Lytechinus pictus: one gene and its partners. The protein of the gene in region 2 purifies or fractionates together with the protein of the main gene of each other region. This does not show direct contact. Links are inferred from orthologs where the notes say so. Each region holds a gene or a part of one and is shown on either strand. Other genes may lie near its edges. The genes, in order: palmitoyl-protein thioesterase ABHD10, mitochondrial-like; E3 ubiquitin-protein ligase KCMF1-like; acyl-coenzyme A thioesterase 9, mitochondrial-like.

Region 1 (8,093 bases), on a different chromosome or scaffold from region 2:
TCTGCCTTGTGCCACACTGGATTCATTGACATCCTCTGAATTACCACCAAATGACACATCAGTTTGTGGATAGGTTGCAGTTCCTTCTATGGGCTCTTCTGTATAATATTGCTTTCTATTGTCCTCTGCCGTTTGGCCCTCAACAACAGAGGGGTCTAGTTTTCCTGCTGGGATGCGATATGTTGGTGAGGAATACTGGCAGCTCCTTGTGATGAGGACTGGTAGACTGTTGGCCTATTGAAACTGTCATGGTACCTGATTCCGTGCTCCAAGTGGGGAAGCTTTGATTCTCCTGATGCCAGTTGCCAGCAGAGTAATTATAATCATGTGCAGGGTAACCGCTAGGTATGTTGGGGCAGTCACGTCGTAGATGTCCCTTATGACCACAGCTGAAGCATCGTCCATCAGTCCTCTTTCTCTGAGGCTTTCCTCCTTTCAGTCTGGCTACTTCTCCCCTAAGTTGCTCCAACTCCGTCATTATAGCTTTCTGTTGTTCTACTACCTGTTGCACAAGCATGGAATCTTTCATGACTGCCCTTCCAACTTCGATATCTGCTTCTCGGACTCTGGGCCTCTGAGTGGTGGCAGTCTCCTGAAAGAGTTTGAGGGCTTCCTCACGAATCTTGGCGAATCCATTGGTTTCATGCATCATCTGTATTCGCCTCAACTCTCTCCTCACCCAAGCCTCCCGGGCACCATTGACAAATTGATCACTTAAGGTCTTGTTTTTCAACTGGCTTAAAGCTTCTCCTTGAGCTTGTGTAGTGGCAGCTTTTTCCATCTTGTTGTAGGTGCGAATCAGGGCACGGCTGAAGTCACAAAGTGATTCTCCATCTCTCTGTATGCGATTATGAAACTGACTACTGAGGGTCTGTGTGGTTTCCTGATAGCCAAAGCACAATTTCAGACGACTTACTATTTCATCAAAATCCTGTCTCTTTGATTCACTGAGACACATTATTTCCTCTCGTGCTGGTCCTGAAAGGTGATCTAGCAACAGTCGAGCTTTGCTACTCATTTCCATATTTTGGTTAGCAGTTACTCCATTAAATTCTTCAAGCCATTCTGACAAGGACATATCATCCGCATGATGTGGCATCCCTCGGAATTTTGGTAAGTTGCTCTGTAATATACTTTGTAATCCAATTGAACGGCGGAAGAATTGGGACAAAACATCCATATTCTCAGTCGTAGCTGATGATGAACTCGATCTGGTTTCCATGATCCTAGATTTGAATTTGGCACATAAAAAGAACTTTGCATACAGAATAGCGAAACCACAATACAATCACTGCACAAATCAGAGAAAAAAGAGCATACAAATGTTGTCCATTATTTTACATACAGTCTGACCGAGGCTGTTTAGAACCAGTCTAAAGTCATTCCAATTTTATGTTGTGCACGATGACACCAGGATAAGACCACATACACGTAAGTTCTCAAGATTTCTTCTAAGTCCAATATCTGCAGAGCCCGTACCAGATGGTCCCTTGTTGCTGATGATCCCACTTCTGACACCATTGAAAGGGTTCGCGCCGACGACCACACAACACAGACACGACTCACAAGGGCTGAGGTTTCATTGGGTTCTTTTATTTACCAAGGGAAAAACAGCCTCGGTCAGACACTAATTCCGCATTTTGCTTCGACATCTTAAGTACATGAAAGGAAGTCCTTGCAGAAGTCTTCTATACTTCAAAGTTAAACTTTCTTCTGTAGGGACAAGTCTCCTCCTCAACAACAAACAGTGGGAATGCCCTTGCTACTGCCAGTGTGTCATGAGTCACTGGACTCTCTCCCTATCTAACAATAAAAGTGCAATGGTGCACATCAAAGTACAAAAGCATCCCTAAAGGGGGTACATGAATTGGCATTACTGCTACCGTAAGTAACGGTGTATTAACCGCACCTTTTTCTCGGCGGGATATAAGCAAAAGTCGGGGGTGCGGTTTATACACGGTGACGGGTCTGAGCCCGCCCGTGTAGCCCCTCCCGAACATGTAGGAAGTCTGCCAGTTCACAACACATCGAGTGGCCGGCCGTAGCCGCCCAGTGCAATGTCGTTTAGAGGGGTATGAGCCGCGGGTAATGGGTAGCGATTATTATGATCTTATGATCAAATACTGTCGTAACAAATGCACCCACCTTCATGACACTAATTTCGACTTTATTCTCGATTCAAAGCAGCGAAGTTCCCTGGCTAAGTTCATAGAGACGCCAAGCATTCTCGGTAATAATTTGTCACAGCTGAGCGAGAGCCAAGAGCTAGCTTGCGTTGTATTTTGGTTTTAGTGCGACTTAAGCTGGCGCTATTCATTTAATTTAACCCCTCAAAGTCCCGTTTCGCGCCAGCTTATTTTTTTCTTTCCTGTTTGCTTTTCATAAGATACCATGTACACCGTGCACCACGCACGATAGAGACGGCACGAAGCCGTCAAACAACTGGAAAAAATACAAATTTCTTTGTTTCTTGAACCTTCCTGTAATCCCGTATCCAAAATTCATGCTAAGACATCGAATGCTAGACAAATTCTGAAAGTGATTGTGAGGTTGTGATGCAAGAAATGTGAAAGACACAGATCACAATTTGATAAGATGTACTGGTAGTGGTACCGTATCGAAGTTTGAAATGTACATGTACAAGAAAGGCAGTGCTGTGTGTGTGTACACTGTGACTGTGAGGTGAGTGAGTGTGTAAATTGCCAATATTGGCGGGACCTTTCTTTCTTGCTAACATTTGTAGATGAATTGATCAAGAACAGCAGATTTCTGCATACTGGTAATCTCTTTGAATACTTTGAAATCTTTAACTTAGTTTTTGTTTCTTCGTACCTCAAATATGCATGTAAATGTGAGGATTTTTTTTTTTTTTTTTTTTTTTTTTTTTTTTTTTTTTTTTTTAGTCCAAAGTTGGGGGTGCGGTTTATACACGGGTGCGGTTAATACACCGTTACTTACGGTACTCCTAAAAAGGCGGGAAAGAATTAGCCAATGAGCAGAGAGGGAAAGAGTAAGTCAAAGTTGGTAGAAGTACAGAGAGGGAGAAAGAGTACTAAAGATAAAGTTGGCAGATATAATGTGAAATATAGATTCATTTTACACATTATATACTGAAATGAAATAATAAAACAAAGTATCCTTTTGACTAGCTTTTTAAGGAAATATTATACAAGAAAAATCCAATTTACAACAGAAACAACACCAACAAAAGCATGATTTTTTCCACCCAAAATTTTGTCTCACTGAGGTCAGAAGCCCATTTGTTTTGTGTGTGATTGACAACAAAAATCCTTATCAAAACAAAAGTAGATGGTGAATTTTTAAAGTAGACGGTGAAAAGGGGTAATTTTTCATGAGGAATCTGATTATCACATTTTTATTTGCCGCCAAGGTAATCCTTTTGCAGCAAATGTAAACAAAGGAAATTGGTCTCCAAAACTGGAGACTGTCTCTGAAATTGGATACCCAAATTCTTCACAAAAGTCTCTGATTTTGGAGATAATCTCCCACAATGGAGACAGTCTCCAATATTGGCCGTGCGCCTCTACTGCTAAAGAGTAAAGGCGGACGAAAATCCCCCCCCCCCATTGAGATCGACATTGCCACTATTGCCAGAGCTGCGCTAGACCAAAAGCTTCGGTCTCTGTTATGTTGGTTGTTCAGCTGAACTCCGTTGGCTTCACTCACCAAATACAGAGACCGAAGTTCTAGCGCGATCTGTACAGGGGACTCAATGGCCATATGTTTATGTACTTAAGATCGGATAAAACGGGGAAGTGAATTTGCGCGACAGCCGAGGTAAGTCACTGTTTTTGTTCCTTTTACCTTGATTTTTCTCCGTTTTTTGGCAATTAATGCCAAGAGGGAATATTAATTTGCATTTTGGTCGCGTTAATTTTCAAAATTTTTATTCATTAAAGACAAAAATTGAAAAGCCCCGACGGGGGGATTTTGCATTGCAAGTCCCCTAATGGTGGCTGCACGCTAGCGAGCCGTCTGTGTACGAGGAGAAATTAAAATAAAAAAAATGTTAAAAAACTCCTCGAAACAGACGGCTGCCAGCTGTCTAGAGCTGCGCATGCGCGCGTTGCAGAGGTTGTCTGTCCAAATCAATATTACACGTACCGTATAGTCAATAGTACTAAATAGAACCAAATCTGCAAACAATATGAAAGTAAACATCAAGCCGCGTCAAACCCGGCGGATATGGTTCCGATTAAAAACGATATCGGCCAGTTAGAACGATATCTGCCGGTGGAACCAAATCCGCCGCTACACCGGCGGCCACCGCCGCGCTGCACAGTCACAAACCATTGATTGCAAACGGGCACCACACACAGACAGTGACTAGTGAGACATGGCATGAATCATGCCATGATCAACAGACGGGACGGGACACAGTGCAGTCTCACTCTCATCTCAGACTCAGTCAGAATCTCACCACCAGCTCACTCAACACAAATGACAAGAAATGAAGAAAATACTGTTTTTTCTCACCTTACGCCGTCCCATTGAAATGAGCGCTTGGATAGAATGGTTAACAAATAGATCTTTCCACTTAAAATCTTCAAAATGTCGAGAATTCTTTTAAATATCGTTCAGATTGTGTGAAGTTTCGATACGGAAAGCGTAATTCGTCGAATGAATGAGTACGAAGTTGCCAATCTCGAATTAATTGTGTTACCTGCAAAATTTTGAAAATTATAGCCTAATAATATTATTATTTGATTAAAAATAAAATAAAATAAAATATTTCTAACTTTTATAAATTTATTTAATTCATATAAGAAATTAATATAGTTATTATTGTCATATTTGTTACAAAAATCTTAATTCTTAATACTTCATCCGAAATTGGAAAACCTAAACCGCGGAAACTTGGCGTTGCAATCATAATTTTGATGAGATTTTAATAAAATTTGGGGAATGAATCACAATGATTTGAATTAAAAATATTATAATAGAAATAAATTTATATTAAAAATATTTTAGCATAAGAAACGAACACCTTATTCAGACATGTTGGTTGGTCCGCATTCAATATTCTAATAAGTGGCTGTTTTCTGAAAACAAAATGTCAGCGCCCTTGTGCTATTTTCGGTCTTGTTTAAATTTTCGCATGTTCTGTCTTTCTGCTCCCAAATCTAACTCCCGTCTGCAAATCCAGCAGCGATTCATGATGACAGACGACAGGGAGAGTCTAGAACATTTACAAAGGACACACACGTCATCTATAGCTTTTCGTCAAACGCCCGGGAAAGATCCGGGCGTCGTGTTTTTACCGGGATACATGAGCAACATGACCGGCGGAAAAGCCGTGGCACTGGAGGGCTACTGCAGGCGGCGTGGGCATGCCTTTGTTCGGTACGTGATATATTTATCTCGTTCCGCTTCAGTGATTTGTTAAGCCACTTAAGGTCCTGACTATGAATCCTGACTCGGGAGTCGACATAACATACAATGCAAGAAGAATAGGCTCCGAAGAATATGCCGATATCTAGACTATAAATGTATAATTGATTAGAAATTAATACAATTTATACTAGAGTAGGCTTAACTTTAATTTAATTTTACTATTTGTATTTTTAGAATCTTAAAAGTTAAACGTCAGTTTTTTGTTTTGAATTCTAATGACTGTTACTTGTCAAAATTAATTGGAAAATTATGACTGAACTTCTTTATTTTTCTTACATGTAAAAAAGTTAGATCTAGATCTAACTTTTTTTTGGTAGTATAGTGAGTGATTGTATTACTATTACCGTAAATACCGACCAGCCTTGTATTACCGAACGCGCGCATCGTAGCATCAGAAAATAATTTTATATGCTCAAAACTTTGCAACATTCTTCCAAAGGGAACTTGAATAGAAAGATTATGAAAAATGGTCAAAAACACATTTTCAAAATATTAATATTTCTAAAAGTGATAAAATATGGTAAAAATAGCTCATCACTAGACATCAGTAATTTTGTTGTTTTCTCAACTTATCCCATAGAAAACACACGTTCGGTAATACGATACCTTTATCAAGTGACCATATATTTCACATGCGAAGAGGGGTCCGATTGGAAGCTAATATCGTAAAAAGGAAAAATGATTTTGGCAAAACTTTTACATATTTATATTTTGAAGGTAATTGTGTATTTAAGGTGAAAGTTTGGTGATTTTTATGAGAATAATGTGTTTGATATGATTGAATTCATGAAAAGTGTTCGGTAATACGATCCACTACCATACAGTCAGTGAGTCATGTACCAATAGCTAATTTATAACCAAACTTTCTTAACAAAATTTTGTTCTAAACTAAAGTTATGTCTAAATGTTCTGGAGATTTTTAGATTTAAATGTAGACTAGTTCTACATTTAAATCCCCAAAACTTCTAGACCTAACATAAGTTTAGAACAAAATTTTGTTAAGAAATCGAATGTTTGGTCAAGAAATTAGCTACAACATGACTCATTGACTGTACTATACTAACAAAAAAAAGTTAGATCTATTCTAGATCTGTCTAAATGTAGTGTCTTTGAAATGAGTCTAGATGTAGTAGTACATGAGTACAGTGTCAAAATTTTAGTTAATTGGTCAGACATTTAAATAATACTAAGTACTAGCATGACTAGGTCTATAGAAGAATCAAATGTAGGCCTATTGTATATCTACATGATTATTTATTTACATTGTTGTGATTATTTGATGTCTAATCATCATTATTGTGAACAATTAATAATCATCATAACCATATTTTGGTCCATCAATTTCTCAGTAGTAATCATCATCATCTTGATTTGTCTTTGCTATCACCATCACCATGGTCATTGTCATCAATTTACCATCATCAGTTACTGTAACCGAAATTGATTCCCATCATTGACATAATTGTCATCACCACCATTTGCCATCATCGTCATCTTCATATTCTTTATCAAAATAATAAACTCGTAGTGGAACTCATGCCATCAATTTATCACCACTATCTTTATCTTTATCATCATCATCATTACTGTACCATCATCAACATCAACACCACCACCATCTTTACAATCATCATCACCCTCCTCATCTCCACCACCACCATCATCGTCATCATCATCCTCTCCACCATCCTTGTCATCACCATCATGTATAATTACTTGTAGTCATTGTCATGACGTCATTGTCATCAATTTATCATCATCATACTTGCCATATTTAAAAGTCTTCTTTTTTACCCACCAGCTTTGACTACCAAGGCTTAGGTGAGTCTATTGGGGAGATGAGGAAAGGAGAAAAGATGTTTGACGTATGGAAGTCAGATGCTCTTGCTGTTCTGGATGAACTAACTGTAGGGCCTCAGGTGAGAAATTAAAAAAAAATGTTAATTCGACCAAATTCTCTATCTTACTCTGTCTGTTTGTCGGTTCCCCCCTTCTTATTTCTCTCACTTCACCTCTAATTTTTCTTCCCTTCACTTTTTCTTTTTTTTTTCCTCCTTCTCGCCTTCCCCCTCTCTATAATTATAAATCTCTCTCTCTCTGTCTCTTTTCTTCCTTCCTCTTTCTCTCTCTTCCCCACTCTACCTTACTCTCTTAATTTTTCTCCTTTCTTCTCTGTTGCTATTCATATGTCTTTTTACTTTCAAGGGGAGGGAGGGGGGGGGGGTGTTTTGCTCTCCCTTTTTACAATTTACAATTTTTTGTCAGGGTGAACTTCCCCTTTAATCGTTTGTATTTCTGTTGTTACTATTTATAAAAGCAAACAAGCTGTGTCAGATTAAGAAACAAAGTTCTGCTGACCACCCCCCCCAAAAAAAAAAAAAATCTTCTTAAATATGACTATTAGAACCTTTTCAATCCATTATCATTTTATTTTAGATTCTTGTTGGTTCCAGTATGGGCGGGGCCATTATGCTGCTTTTAGCATTAGAGAGACCAGAACGTATCCACTCACTGCTTGGGGTAGCTACTGCAGTACAGTTTGACAGACCAATGTCTGAGCAGAAGAGGGGCCATGTCCATGAGGTAAGTAGTGTAGCCTTAAAAGTAAAATAAAGGGAAAAAAAACAAGGAGAAGAAGAGAATATTCTCTTCTTCATCTTAAGAATTACACAGGGGTT
Region 2 (8,076 bases):
ATCAAGAATAAGAAGAGAGAGCAACACTCAATGTGCAGTACTGGCTTGTTTTGAGAAGAAAAGAATCAATACTTACTCTGATACATATTCCAATGTAGTCCATGAGGAGAAATCAGCATTGGCCATGAACTTTCTATTCATCGGTGTATCTAAGGTAACCCTGAAATAAGAATAAAGGAAAATTGTTCAATAACTAATCACTCTATGGCCATTGGACATTATTTGTACTTTGGTCATAACAAATCCTCTACATGACATTAATAAAGCTAGTAATTAATGCATTGTTACAATAAAATGTTATAAGCTAATGAAAAGGTGCAATGTGATCAGTTTGGGGAAAAATTACAGAGGCTCAGGGCAATCTTGCACCTGATATACTCAAAAGAGCCTTAGAAATTAGAAGAGAGCCCCCCCCAAAAAAATTTCCCATTTACTGCTTAGTTAATGTTGCAGATTTAGACAATCATTTGTGAAAAGTAGCTCCCGAAAGTAAATATTCACATTTTCGCCTCAGGGATGGGTTGCAAATATAGGTCATGGGATTCTAGTATTTGCTTTAGTTAGCATGGTTTACAGATCTAGACCTATAGTAATAAAGTGAAAACTAATCTTGGTTTTCAAGGCTTTCTCTTGAAATTATCTCTCTTGGCAACATTAGTTTAGCTACAAGAACCATTGAATTACTTACGGCAGGATGGCAAGAGCTGTAGCGTTTGCTGGTAATCCACTGTTATCAGCACCAAGACCTTTGGTGAGTTGATGAACAGCTGCCTTAGCCATACCATAACCCATCATACCTACAATTAATCAAAGAATGACATTCTTTAGTTAGAATATTTTATATTAAAATTCATGACAAATACTTCAGACATAGATCTATCATGTATCAACATTTCAGTGCCAGATATAGTCTACAAATTACATTTTTTAAGGATTTGAAAATGATGTGCCTGATCTCATTACAAGCCAGAAACTCATAAATCTTTATAAAGTTCAATCCAATGATACATGTATCTTTATATTGATTCATAAGGATTATGAGTCAATCTGTTTGTAGTTGTACTTTGGGAATTAGATCTAACTCTGCATAGCATACTGGTCTCATCATATGAACCCATTTTTCAAAATCTTATTTTTCAAGTAAATTGTCTAACATTCTCACATTATCAAAATTATTCAAAAGGGCATTTTTCTATGAAACACAACAAGTTATAGACTAGTATTAAAAACTAAGAACACATCTAAATTTTTAGTTGATTTGGTAATTTTGTGTTGGAGGGTCACATGTTGTTGTATATATTATTATCTGACCTGCAGTTCCTTCTAGCGCAGGGTATGCACCGGTCAGCTGAAGTAGGCCACCCTCCTTTAAATGCCTGGCAGCAACTCCAGCTGAGATGACTGATGTCCAGCAACTCTGTTTAATCATCAGGTCAGCATTCTTCACCAGGTCTACAGAGATATATTAAAAAAAAATCTTTATATTTACCAAGTCAATATGTGCACAAGAAATGTGCTACTGAAGTCTGAAAAAGATAATAATAATTAAAAAAAAAACAGGCTCTGACTGGGGGACATACGAAAACAATGAAAAAATGAATGACACCATGTTATCATCTAATGAAGATAGCAACATTAGAACCTGATAAAAAAGGGGGAAAATCCACAAAAGAGTATATAAATCCAGCAAAAATCTGAAAACTAAAATAGGCACTATGTTATTATCGTATCTCATGAAGACAGCACATGGTGATTTTTTTTTTCTTCAAATAATATGATTTAAAGTTATCCATTTTATTTTTCGGTTGTCTGATAATCTACACACATTGTTAACATCTTCTTCTTCAACTACTCTCACACTGAAGTGCTCTACTCATTTGTAAAATCAAACGCAGAGAAAAAGTGTGCATCAACATATGACATAGCTGACCTCAACATCAAATTAAAGAGAAAATCTTCCTAAGTTCCTACAATGAAAGACGTATAAACTATTAACTTTTTTAAATAACTAGAAATATATCTAAACAACATATAAAGTTTACCAGTGGCTAAAAATATTTCTGATTAATTCCCTTCTACTGCTCCAAAATTAAAGAGTAAATGTAACCAACTCTTGTTTAAATTCAGATGTGTATTAATGTTACAAACAACTTGAAAATAAACCTCTTCATATTTAACAGTCATACATGGTCACTCTACACACAGAAAACAGAAAGTGAATCAAGAAAATACACCTTTTTTCACCCTAAAAGATAGAATTAAAGGAAACATAAGGGGAAAAAATTCAAAAGGGAAATTTCACCATCTAGATTATAGAAAGTAATGGATCTGTAAAAGCTTTGACAAACACACTATCTTTCAATCTTATGAAGATATCACATTCCCATAATCACTGTACAATATCTGCCTAAAATGCAAAAAAGACCAATATGACTTTCAAATCATTGATGCATCATTTTTAATTGATTAAACCTATATACCAGATATTTGTGATAAAATAATGAGTAGCACACCTTTGGACTTTGCATTTCCTCCAGCCCATCCCCCTGCTACACATAGGATCGCATCTAACTTCTGACCAGAGAGGGCCTCCTCCACCTTAGAGTAGACTTCTTCCGACTGCGGGGTCCAGGCATTCAGCTCACTGATGATGACATTAGCATCTGCTTGCTCGTTGGGGGCCAAATCTGCAGATAATACCCACTAGAAAAGGAGCAAAGGAGAGAGAAAAAAAAAGATTACTGGGCTAAGTTAGAATCTGTCTCAAAAAGCAGCAAACCCTTTTTGGTTAGATTTTAATGATCATTTTACCCTAAATTGTTTACCAGAGTGCCCTGAAATATGTAAAGCATGTTTTGATGCCTTATAAGTGCAAGTGACATGTATTTTTGGAAAATACAGACGGATATTATTAGCCTATGTAACCTTGTAACATCAGTATTTGTTGAGTAGATCCAGTTAGTCATCTACAGCATTGGTCTACATGTACATTTAAATCCTTGCAGGGGTGGCTATCAAGCAGAAGTTAAATATGAGCATATCCCTGATAGGAACATAACAGAAATCATGGCCACTAATAATTTAGTATTGTTCATGATCCATCAATTAAAAACCGCTTTTAATATAATACTCATTCAGTTTTATTTGATTTGATTAAGCCTGCACTCATTTTTTATGTTACATTATATATATATATCATACTAGATCCGCCGGAAAGGCGAATCTTTTGTATTTTTTTCATTGTTCACAATTCGCCTAAACGCCCTCTACATTCGCCTATACGTCGAAATGTCTATTATGACGGAATAAACCCATTCATAGACTTTGCCCTTACATAGGATGTAGGCATATCTATATGGTATATAAAAGTATGTTTTTGCGCAATTGCAAGTTTTATAAGATTTTTATCAGATTAGACCCAGATCTATGTATCTTTAATGTATGTTTCAGATTTAATATGTATCAGATAATGAGATATGTTTTCTAATTGAATGACCAATAAAAACTATCAAAATAAATAAAAAATTACATCAACGAACATGACAAAAATGGCACACACAAACGAATGTAGAACTGAAAGCGGGGGGAAAATCTATCTTTTGTGGCATGTCTGTTCTAACTTCACTGAGACCACTTGTTCACTGCAACCACCCTGCCTGTGGGGAATCTACATGTAAATGTAGGTCTATGCAGTATACAACACACATTTAAACAATGCATTAAAATGCCACTTTCGGGAACAAAAATACTAATTTCCATACACTTGCAATTTATTTTTCACTAACTTGGGAATCGTTTTTGTATTCACCAGAGTGCTCAAATTGTGCATATTTTTGTGTAAGCCCTCTATTGGTGGAATGTAAAATCTCAAGAAAATTGTTGTTTTTCAATCTATATTTCTATTATTTAGAAAAATTAATATCTAAAAGAATTCAATTTATTACGAGCCAAGTTATATGATGAATAGATCTATCATCTAACGCAACAAGTTAGTCTACATCTGTTAGTTGCACTTGTAAATGGAAACTGATATTAAAAATCAAGCATTTGTTAGTAAGAGAACAAGAGAAAATAAGCCAAATATTGCATTGCCAACCTTATTTCCCCACAAAGGGGTAGACTCTAGTAACAGAGAACAAGGTTATATTCTAACCTTGTTCATTGACAATGAACATTAGTGAGACCGAGTCTGCTGTACAAAATTAACAATAACAGCGTCAGCGGTTCCGATTCACTCAAGGGTTCATTATTACATGCCGTCGCGCACAGAAAAATCAAGCCATATTATTACTTGTTGTGGACACCAGAACTTAGAAGTAAGATCCCAGCACGCGCGACCCACTAACAAAAGTTAGTTAGAAATCCACTGCCAAACGCGGTTCATGGTGCGAGGTTAGTATACTACGTATGAGTGGTTCCGATTCCCATCACCATGACCATGTCGTACTGAAAAAGGCTTGCAATTGCAAGTTGCAGTTCTCCGGTGAACGGAGGCATTCGACACAGAAGAAGGTATTTAATTACCATGCCCATGGCCCCATGCTATGTTGTTAGCTTGGCATACCTGTTGCTTGTTAGCTCCAGGGAGACCGTATACCTTTTCTTCACCAACCCTGCCCTGCGGCCCAATAAAGCCCCAATCTCAAAAACTTTTTGGAAGCCGCCACAGCGCAAGCTGCTTCCAACAAATATAACAACGGATGGGACCGTACTAAATTGTGTGCATGATTCACTTAAGTAACCGACCCTATTTTTCTTTGTAGTTATTTTTTTGAACTCCGAAAAAAGTAACATCAATGCAAATACAAGTTCTCAACACTTTACCCAGTTCTTTGATTTGTAAAAATTCACCAATTGTGAACCAAGGGCACCTTTTCCACCATAAACGAAGACACGGGAGTTTGCTGCCATTTTGATGTATGAAACACTGAGGACTTTTGTAAAATTCCTCTTGTTTTAGGAATATCGTCTAAGATAAAAATATAAAAAAATATTTAAATATCTTTTTAATTTTCTTTTTACGTAAAAATATATAAAAATTGTATTTGATTAGGAGTTTTATATTTCTATTCAGAAAACATATATTTGAGGTTGTGACATCACTGCTCATGGGGTTGAGCACTTTTGATCTTGACGAATATGGGTGCATAATTGGACATAAAAACATCGTTTATTTTTCATGTGGAACCTGTATTTAACATTTTTATGAAATTTTCATATCACAAGACTCTGCTCAAGCTGTGAATGGATTTTGAGTCTACATTGGGGCCGAGTTTTTGCCTAGGATGTCCCGACATGAAGGTAAGCAGATTGCAGAAACCGGAACATGTCAGCATTATCCCATAGGCTTTATGTGTGAAAAGGACCCACAGAATCCCCGACCCAGGCACAGTAAAAACAGTGCAGTGGCAGTATGGTTGGAAGTGGAACTACCCCTTATCGGCCACCTAATTTTCTAAGCATCTTATTTGCGAAAATATTTATCAGTTTTACCTAGTCTTCGTATCATTTCTGCAGAAAATTGAGCAGATTAGATTCCCATGTTTCGATCGGCGACTCCGTCTCCGATTCAATTTGCGTAGAGTCTAAATAATCAGTAAATCAGCGAACAACGAATACAACGATTTTGCATAAAATTTGCTCATTTGCACCCTTCTTTTGAAACCGACCACCCGTAATACACTAAGTTTACGGCCGATTCTTGTCGCGGTGGCGAAATATTTTGACTCTTCCAAATCAGTTCCATGATGTTATTGTTAACATGCTAAATGATCGTCTCAGTCTCACTACTTCCACTGCGAGCTGCGGCACATGATTCGACGATTGACGACAGATATTTGTTCTAAAGTCGTTTCCTATCGGATTTCTTGGTATGAACAACTGTTTTTCGGCCGGGTTTGGCTCTAGTCAAAACAATTTTGATGAATTCTACTAAATTTTTACCTTTTTCCCCTTCTTTTTCTCTCGTAAAATCGATTCTTACCGTTCCTATGGACACTGCGCCTACTCTCCCGCGCGTATCGTTTGTATGGTTGGAACTACCCCTTATCGACCACCTAATCTTCTCAGCATCGTATCTGCGAAAATATTCATCAATTTTACCCAGTTTTAGTCTCATTTGTGCAGAAAATTGAGCAGATCAGATTCCCATGTTTCGCTCGGCGACTCCGATTCAATCCGGGTATATATCGACGAACAACGAATACGACGATTTTACATTTGCTCATTTGCACCCGTCTTTTGAAACCGACCACCCGCGATACACTAAGTTTACGGCCGATTTTTGTCGCGGTGGCGAAATATTTTTACTCTTCCAAATCAGTTCTATGATGTCAACATGCTAAATGATCGTCTCACTACTTCCACTGCGAGCTCCGGCACATAATTCGACGATTGACGACGGATATTTGTTCTAAAGCCGTTTCCTATCGGATTTCTTGGTTTTTCAGCGGGAATTGGGTCTGGTCAATACAATTTTGATTAATTCTACTAAATTTTTACTTTTTGTTCTTTTTTTCTCGTAAAATCGATTCTTACCGTTCCTATGGACACTGCGCCTACTCTCCCGCGCGTATCGTTTGTAATACGCAATAATTTTAACGCGCGCAAGGTGGTCGGTTTCAAAAGAGGTGGTCGATATGTGGTAGTCTCACCATAATAGTAATACGCAATAATTTTAATGCGCGCAAGGTGGTCGGTTTCAAAAGAAGTGGTCGATATGTGGTGGTCTCAGTCGTCTCACTATACTAGGCCCTGATAAAAATAAAAGAAGATTGAGCTCGATCAGATTCATTTACGTCAGGGTCTATTAACAAAGTTAAAATCTATTCTACTGCAATAACAAGTAAGTACATGTAGACAAGACCAAGGTCTAAAAGTGGAAATTTTTGTGGTGTGGTCTTTTCGTGGCAAGATTGATCAGCAGTAGAGGCGCTGGTCCAAAAATTGGGATTGTCCCAGAAAACAAGGATATCTTCATAAACCAAGACAAATCATGTCTTGATAAATTGAGACTGTCCTTGTTTATGGGGACGTTTTTTTTTCACTTCCGCCTACGGGACAAAGACATCAATTACGGAATTGAGAGTGCTAAAGATAGATTCAGTGACCTCAATTCCCCCCAGCTCACCGTCTATTTTTCATGATTTACCGTCTTCCAATAATCTTGTTATGAAACCTGATATGTTTACATTGACTAGCGCACTTGATTAGTGTCTGCACTTGACAGGTGAATGAACTTTACTAGATCTCTTGTGTGAAGAAGTCTTTAAAAACTGAGACAGTCCCTGTAAACTGGGATGATCCCAATTTTCTGACCAGCGCCTCTACTGATCAGCGAGCGCGAATTTAATTTTAAAACATGCGAATTTATGTCTCTGAGCATCTATTGTAATACAAGTTTTGAACTCCGGTTCAATTGCATGTATCATTTTGGCTGCATAATTTGACCTATAGAGGGCAACATTTAAGCAAGCAAGCTTGGGCTTGAGCTCCAAAATCATTCATATGCATCACCAGAATTTGTTCCAATGCGATCATTTTTTTAAGTCGCAGAACGGTATTGAGACTCTAAATTTTGATTTTGCTTGAAATACATGTATAAGTTCTTTTTGCAGTTTGATTGGTGAGTGTTTAACTCTAGATCTGTTTAGTTTTTAAGAAGATGTCTTGTTGATCGCCCAGGCCATGCAGGCAAGGTTTGTTGATTGATCCCATGCACTTTGTTTGAATAGCCGTAATCCCCCCGGTCCTTACCCAGTGCTCGGCTGTCCTACCAGGCCAGCAGCGCCTCTGTTTTGCCTTCCCAGATGTCCCCCCCCCCCACAAAGAAAAGTTGCGCTAAATGTCACAAAAGCTCATGATCGGATCAAAACAATGCTGAATTATGCCTCTTTAGAGCAAGAATTATGATCAGAAAATATAATTTCGTTGCTGAAATGTTAATTATAATCATTCACACATGGGGAAGAAGGAAGTGACTCTGTGATTATGGAGTGTGCAGCGTGAATTCAAGAACTTGCGAATATGTTTTGAAGCTGCCAAGCGAGAAAAATTAATCCCGCCAAAATAACAGTG
Region 3 (7,213 bases), on a different chromosome or scaffold from region 2:
ATTAAAAGCACATAAATTTTTTTTCATGAAAAGTAATATAATGAAACATGAGTTTTTATTAGAAACTTAATTTGCATTTGATTTGTGTTTTTGAGCAATTTGCATCCGCTATGAACTTACATATTGTATAACTTCAGAATCTCATCAGTAAAATATACAAATTTACAACTGCATTTTGGGTTGTGAACATACATCATACATGTACATGTATTACTCCCCCCCCCAAAAAAAAAAGAAACACCAATGGGGCCAAGCCAAGGGGTGGACTTAAGCCACAAATGGGTGCATTACATGCCGCTGTGTCAGGAAAATTGAAGGCACGGTGCATGCAAAATTGCAACAATTGCATGGCCCTTACGCGAATTTAAGAAGAGGTTTTATAAAATCGAGTCCTTATACGAAACTTACTAAACGATGTGAAGTAAATTCCCCCTAATATCATGAATATCCCTCAAATAGCGTCATTTAAGCGTTGATTTTTCTTCTCGTTCACAAAATACGGAGCTTTCTTCTATTTCCGAAATTTTTCGTCTTATTAGCTAAAGAGGGCACGCGATTTATCATCATATCAAAGACACAAGGGAAAGACTAGGCACAAAAACTATTTTACACATAAATTGATGCAAAGCGTTACGTGAAGTCGGCAAAGTGTGAACCGTTTTACTGTAAAGACTTTGGTGGAAAGTTTCTTGACAAACGAAAGGTAGCACTGCGGGCTTTGTTCAAGGTACGTAGAATTTTTTTTTTTTTTTTTCCATTTGTACATGTAGGTATGTTACAAAAAAAATTGAGAACTGAGGTGTTTGTTTCAGAGCATCATTTAGAGCTCATCAAGACCTTTCATTTAACACCCTATTCATCTCAATAGCCCCAGTAGCCTCAACAGCTGCCATAAACATTCAACTACGTAAAAACACTTCAGGCTCAGCCACAACATTGCCTTGGCTTCACTCACACGTATTGCAAGGTAAGTATGCTATACTAACCTTGCACTACGAACGTGTTTACGCAATGGATTTTAGAGATGTCAGTTAACATCGCTTCATAACACAAATAATGTTAGCCGAAACTCATTCAGCTACTCACCAGGGCTTTTTTTTGTTGAAAAGCGTTCTATTTTCAATTTTAAAAATATTTTAAATATAAAAAGCACATAAAAAAGAGCAAACTCGCTAACCTCGGCCTGGAAAGTGGCTTCGCATGTCTCTTCCACGGAAATGAAAGGAAGGTCGTTACTGGCGCTAATACAATTCACAACCTTAATTCAGCTTGTCAGTATTTTTAAACTAGATCCTTGATTTATTGTATGCGCATTTCCTATGATTGTTTGATAAAATAGAGACACACATTGGACACTTTGCCGACTTCACGTAACGCTTGCATCGACTTTACGTGTAATACAGTTTTTGTGCCTAGTCAAAACTGTTTTTGTGCAAATAGTCTAAATCAGTTCAAATCCAGACTTGAAAAATTTTGGCACAACCATCCTCTGAAGTACAGACCTTACCAAAGATAAGAAAATCAACGAGTAGCACATAAGCAGATTGCTTTACATCTCAACATCCAAGTAAATCCAAGTAGTCTTTCCCTTAAATTAATTAATTAATTGTAGTGTCTTTGATATGAGGATAAATCGCGCGCCCTCTCTAGCTAATTAGACGGAAAAATATTTGGGAAATAGAAGCAAGCTCCGTATTTTGTCAACGAGAAGAAAAATCAATGCTTAAATTGACGCTATTTGAGGGATATTCATCATATTACATGCATTAGGGGGAATTGACTTCCATGACATGCATCGTTCGGTAAGTTTCATAGGATTTGATTTTATGAATCATCTTCTGAAATTTGCAGGAGTTTGTTGCAATTTTGCATGCGCCTTGCCTTCATTTTTCCTGTACACCCAGTTGGACGATCAATTTTAGAAAGTCATTTGGAAAAATTTACAAGCGAAGTTTCAGCAATTTTTAGTACAAAATGTTACTGTTAGGAAATATTATAAAGAACAAAATAGAAGATGACTACAATTTAGATTAAATTCATATTCTTAGTGTAATCCAAACAAAGACAAAAAAGAAGGCTTCAAAAATATAAAGTGTCCGGACACCCGACCCCCATCCTACATGGCGGCAGTAATGCACCCATGGCATGGGTGCCTTGGGCTTGGCTTTTGCCCTGCCCCTGGCTTGGCCTTGCCACATCGCCATCGGGAATTTTAAGCTCCATTATTTTCAGTTCACTTTCAGCATCGATCGATCTTGTTCTTAATCTTTATTCTTAGTCATGTTAGTCTTCTTCTTCTTCAAGCTACACTGCCTCCTTCAATCCTGAAGATTCTTGCAGTATTGTAGTACCGGGGACCGGCAGGTGCAATACACCGGGTGAACACCCTACTCTTTGACGAATAGTGTATTGGTTTTAACGTGAATAGGTTGTGACTCTCCTATAGTAGCTATACACGGGACCAACATTTGCGTCCTTTCCGATGGACGGAGTGTTTTCCAACTGCATTCACACCCGCACTGAACACAGCGGTGAGGCACGTTAACACACAACGCTAGCATCAGTTTTTTTGTAAGACGTCTTCCGGCATGCTGCGGGACTCGAACCCACGCACGTTGAGATCTACGAGTACGATCTTATCCGGAACAGGCGCTCTAAGACCAAGTCTAAGACCTAAGTTTCTAATCTAAGTATGGTTGGAACTACCCCTTATCGACCACCTAATCTTCTCAGCATCGTATCTGCGAAAATATTCATCAATTTTACCCAGTTTTAGTCCCATTTGTGCAGAAAATTGAGCAGATCAGATTCCCATGTTTCGCTCGGCGACTCCGATTCAATCCGCGTATATATCGACGAACAACGAATACAACGATTTTACATTTGCTCATTTGCACCCGTCTTTTGAAACCGACCACCCGCGATACACTAAGTTTACGGCCGATTCTTGTCGCGGTGGCGAAATATTTTTACTCTTCCAAATCAGTTCTATGATGTCAACATGCTAAATGATCGTCTCACTACTTCCACTGCGAGCTCCGGCACATGATTCGACGATTGACGACGGATATTTGTTCTAAAGCCGTTTCCTATCGGACTTCTTGGTTTTTCAGCGGGAATTGGGTCTGGTCAATACAATTTTGATTAATTCTACTAAATTTTTACTTTTTGTTGCTTCTTTTTTTCTCGTAAAATCGATTCTTACCGTTTCTATGGACACTGCGCCTACTCTCCCGCGCGTATCGTTTGTAATACGCAATAATTTTAACGCGCGCAAGGTGGTCGGTTTCAAAAGAGGTGGTCGATATGTGGTAGTCTCACCATATAGTAACTAGTGAGTCACTAGTCTAACCGACCGAGTCTGACTCTGAGCTACACTGCCTCCCATCTCAGTCGGTCTCAGTAGGACTTCATCTTCACAGTATTATTTTTTATTATTGACTGAAGTAAGTGATCAAAATTTATGCAAACGTGCAAGTCAAGTCAAAGGTAGAAAAAAAAAACGGTCGAATCGAAACACAGAAACGTGATTGCCCCTACGCCCTATATGCATAAGAATCGCACGCACGGGCATGACGGGTTGAGCTGGTGTATGGACCGGATACGGACTACACAACACGGCGTTAGTTTACTTTAAAAAAAAATATTTTAAGTTCAAGTTTATGCAGGTAAGCAACGATAAATTTGTCATGTAAACCTATATAATCTTGGCTCACCTTATCAAAAGGACTTCAATTCAAGCCGGGTGAGACAGTGATTGTCCAGTGATTTTTTTAACGACAACTCTTCTCATGGGTCCACTGCGCTGCCAGAAGAAAAGTATATTTCACGTTATATTAGACCAACGAACGTAGAGGGCAGCAACACACAAGCGTGTTGCTCTATCTAGCTAAGGAAGGTCAACTCCGCTCGAATTTTGTGACCACTCTAAAAAATAAGGTGGGGTTTTGGGAAATTTGTCGAGTTGATTTTTTTTCATTTGATAATTTCAAATATTTTTAATGAACAATTATTAGATCGCTTATTCTGGGTATAAATATTAAAAATATTATTCTTATTTTTAAAGAAAATATTTAGCTTCAATAATCATGATTTTGACATTTTTCCTCATTTTGGAATATTAAGTCTATGACGAGGATACCCCTAATCTGTTATTTTCTTCTGCTGAATTTCGCTGCACCACTAATAAATGCATAGACAACCACCGTAATAATCGAGGTCATTTTTCCGGCCTGGGTGCGCCGAGTCTGGGCCGGTCGCGCAGCTAGCTATAGTGACGTTGATGATGCGCTGGGGCTTCAGGCGACTCGTCATAGATCTTCTAGCAACATAGACAATGACGTCTAATTTGCCTGGCCTGATTTGAAGTGTAATGGCTTCAGGGCTGATGTTAATCAACGATGATTGTTCAAGGTTAGATTTCAAATTTTAATTGTCATTTGACTTTTAAGTCTATAAATCTGAAATAAAGGCGCTGTATCCCCGAAATCCGGGTCTAAATTTCAACTCCGAGTCCGAGACCATGGCATGGACGTCGAAAAACAACAACCCACGCATCGGATGCATTGCATTGGCTGCGCGCTGCGCTGCAGCTGCACTGTGATGATGGATTCAGCGAAGAGCTCAGAGAAAATAAGGTGGTCATATTCAATCCCGAAATGCTTTGCGAGTGGTCACAAAATCGTCTCGACGCAAATCACCTAAAGGCCACCGCACACCTTACGACTGTCCGCGATCCGATTTTGGAACAAATCGCATTTTGCTCATTTTCTGAAAATGTGAATGGAACATATCATTTAATTTGAGGTTTAAATTAATTGAAAGAATACTAATATAACCATTTTGAAAGATTGCAAGCCTTTATTTCTGAGTAAAGGCCAAATTAGTTTCAAATCGTAGCCAATCGTACGACTGCTATGACGTCATTACGACTAGATATTAAATTCGCTTTTATTCTAAGAAGGATGATAGCATAGTCACAGATTTGAACATAGGTATTCGTACGATGATTTAGAACATTACACAGTAAGATATTCCAAATCTCAATGTTAGCATCAAATTCTACTACATTTCATTCTGAAATCGGGTCGCAGACCAATCGTAAGGTGTGCGGTCGCCTTAATACAGCCGTCTGGTGAAATCGCTGATAACAACAATCACCGATTTGGTAATGATTTAGTTTCTAAAACTTATATTTGTAAAGTTTTAAATATCAACGTATGTTTTCAAATGTACGTATATTCTCCAACATAATTTTTTAATGTTATCTTTGATATCGTTGTAGTCATATTCTTTCATATTGTTTTCGTGATCGCTACTAATTTGTTGTTGTATTGGATCGGCGTATGATTTCGTTGGCATAAATGATAAAATATGCGCGTACCTCAGCTGCATGCGCGTATTGAGTTGACCTTCCTTAGAGCAACACGCTTGTGTGTTGCTGCCCTCTACGTTCGTTGTAATAGACGTAGACAAACGAACGTAGAGGGCAGCAACACACAAACGTGTTGCTCTATCTAGCTAAGGAAGGTCAACTCCGCTCGAATTTTGTGACCACTCTAAAAAATAAGGTGGGGTTTTGGGAAATTTGTCGAGTTGATTTTTTTTCATTTGTTAATTTCAAATATTTTTTAATGAACAATTATTAGATCGGTTATTCTGCAGATCATCCGAAAAATCAAGATGAACAAAAACATATAAACATTTAAAAGAAATACATAGACGTATACAGGGGCCGCGGAGCGGGGGGGGGGGGGGGGCTTCAGCCCCCCACTTTTTTCCAAAACCGTGTACAAAAACGTAAAAATTACCATATGATTGTGATTTTTGCATGGTCAGCCCCCCCCCCCCCACTTTGAAAACCGTTCCGCGGCCCCTGGTATAGGCCTATCACCAGAAAGACTATAATATATAGTCGCATTCACCTGTGTGCAAGAACATCACAATTCCCTTATCAAAATGTGCTTATCAAGAGTGTACAAAATAATAAAATTATACGTCCCTAACAATTAAGAGGGATATATTATGATATAAATTGTTCCTTTTCTTCTTGTTCTGGCCATGACTTTAAATCATATTTGTCTATTAATAATCAAACTGCATATTTCAGACCTATTTCAAGCACTGAAATAATTAATATTGTTATTGTTAAATACAAGTCCAAGCTATAATGGTATATATAGTATAGAAATGTCGGTCATTAAAAAAAAACTATTTTGATCAGCAGTGAGCCATTAAGTGCATTATTTAATAAGTGTTTTGAATTGGGATCATTTCCATGTCAACTACAGATTGCAAAAGTTATTCCAGTTCATAAAAAAAGGGTCCTTCTGAAATTATGTCTAATTATCGACCTATCTCATGCAGTATACAAGCTATCTTTTCTAAAATATTAGAAAAATGTATCTATCTATAACCGATTGTTAAATTTTATCATAAAGTGCAATGTATTGAACCCTACTAATGATATGGTTTTAGCCAGGATATTCCACATCTGCTTTATTGGTAAATTTTATTCAGAAAGTTACTCGTGCATGCAATAGATGATGAAGAAATTATGATTGCTTGTTTATAGATCTCAGCTGAGCTTTCGGTAAGATCGACCATTTTATTTTATTAGAAAAAACTAAACTCTTATGGAATTAAAGGAATCACATTGGATCTTTTCAAAAGTTATTTAGGTAATCGCAAACAATGTAGTGATAAGTTTTATCTTAATATTGCAAAATGCGGAATTTCGCAGGGTTCAATACTCGGCCCTCTATTGTTTTTATTGTACATGATTTCTGTATTAAAAGGCCTCTGACCAGTGGCATACCTAGGATTTTCCACAGGGGGGGGCAAAACCGTCCGCCCAAAAATTTAACAAGCAAAAAAAAAAAAAAAAAAAAAAAAAAAAAGGTCTTCAAGTCAGGGGGCATTGAAGGACTTAAAGCTCGTCAGAGGGGCAAAAAAGGTTTTTCAAGCCCGTCAGGGAGGGCAAAGATACGTTTTTGCATGGGTTGTGACTCGTCAGGGGGGCAGAGTGCCCCCCCTGCCCCCCCCCCCCCCGTAGGTACGCTAGTGCCTCTGACCTTTTAAAATGTATTCTAGTTGGCTTCACCACCTTTCTCTAGCTCATCTTTCATGATCATCGAGAAACGCAACCCGGATTAAAACCAACTGGTGTACGTATTTCCGTGGTGTGAACGGGTGCTTTACCTTCCTTCCTGGT

What was found.
Region 1: the proteins of E3 ubiquitin-protein ligase KCMF1-like (region 2) and palmitoyl-protein thioesterase ABHD10, mitochondrial-like purify together in Homo sapiens (affinity purification with mass spectrometry; 3 studies listed by BioGRID and IntAct, counting the BioPlex papers as one, with this or other methods). This does not show direct contact. The link is inferred for Lytechinus pictus from reciprocal best matches to the Homo sapiens genes KCMF1 and ABHD10.
Region 3: the proteins of E3 ubiquitin-protein ligase KCMF1-like (region 2) and acyl-coenzyme A thioesterase 9, mitochondrial-like purify together in Homo sapiens (affinity purification with mass spectrometry; 3 studies listed by BioGRID and IntAct, with this or other methods). This does not show direct contact. The link is inferred for Lytechinus pictus from reciprocal best matches to the Homo sapiens genes KCMF1 and ACOT9.

What each region holds. Positions count from the first base shown.
Region 1 is NC_087252.1:503,557-511,649, forward strand, and holds the start of palmitoyl-protein thioesterase ABHD10, mitochondrial-like, read left to right. Parts: upstream 1-5,000; 5' UTR 5,001-5,074; coding exon 5,075-5,364; intron 5,365-7,216; coding exon 7,217-7,334; intron 7,335-7,851; coding exon 7,852-7,998; intron 7,999-8,093. UniProt on the Homo sapiens protein: Acts as an acyl-protein thioesterase that hydrolyzes fatty acids from acylated residues in proteins.
Region 2 is NC_087256.1:14,249,351-14,257,426, forward strand, and holds the start of E3 ubiquitin-protein ligase KCMF1-like, read left to right. Parts: upstream 1-5,066; 5' UTR 5,067-5,285; coding exon 5,286-5,301; intron 5,302-8,076. Other genes in the region: dihydropteridine reductase-like, read right to left, coding at 77-160, 689-797, 1,312-1,452, 2,514-2,703, 4,825-4,911. UniProt on the Homo sapiens protein: E3 ubiquitin-protein ligase which accepts ubiquitin from an E2 ubiquitin-conjugating enzyme and then transfers it to targeted substrates, promoting their degradation by the proteasome.
Region 3 is NC_087260.1:23,355,250-23,362,462, reverse strand, and holds the start of acyl-coenzyme A thioesterase 9, mitochondrial-like, read left to right. Parts: upstream 1-4,159; 5' UTR 4,160-4,372; coding exon 4,373-4,413; intron 4,414-4,665; exon of another isoform or gene 4,666-4,778; intron 4,779-5,052; exon of another isoform or gene 5,053-5,167; intron 5,168-7,115; exon of another isoform or gene 7,116-7,213. UniProt on the Homo sapiens protein: Mitochondrial acyl-CoA thioesterase. Catalyzes the hydrolysis of acyl-CoAs into free fatty acids and coenzyme A (CoA), regulating their respective intracellular levels. Regulates both mitochondrial lipid and amino acid metabolism.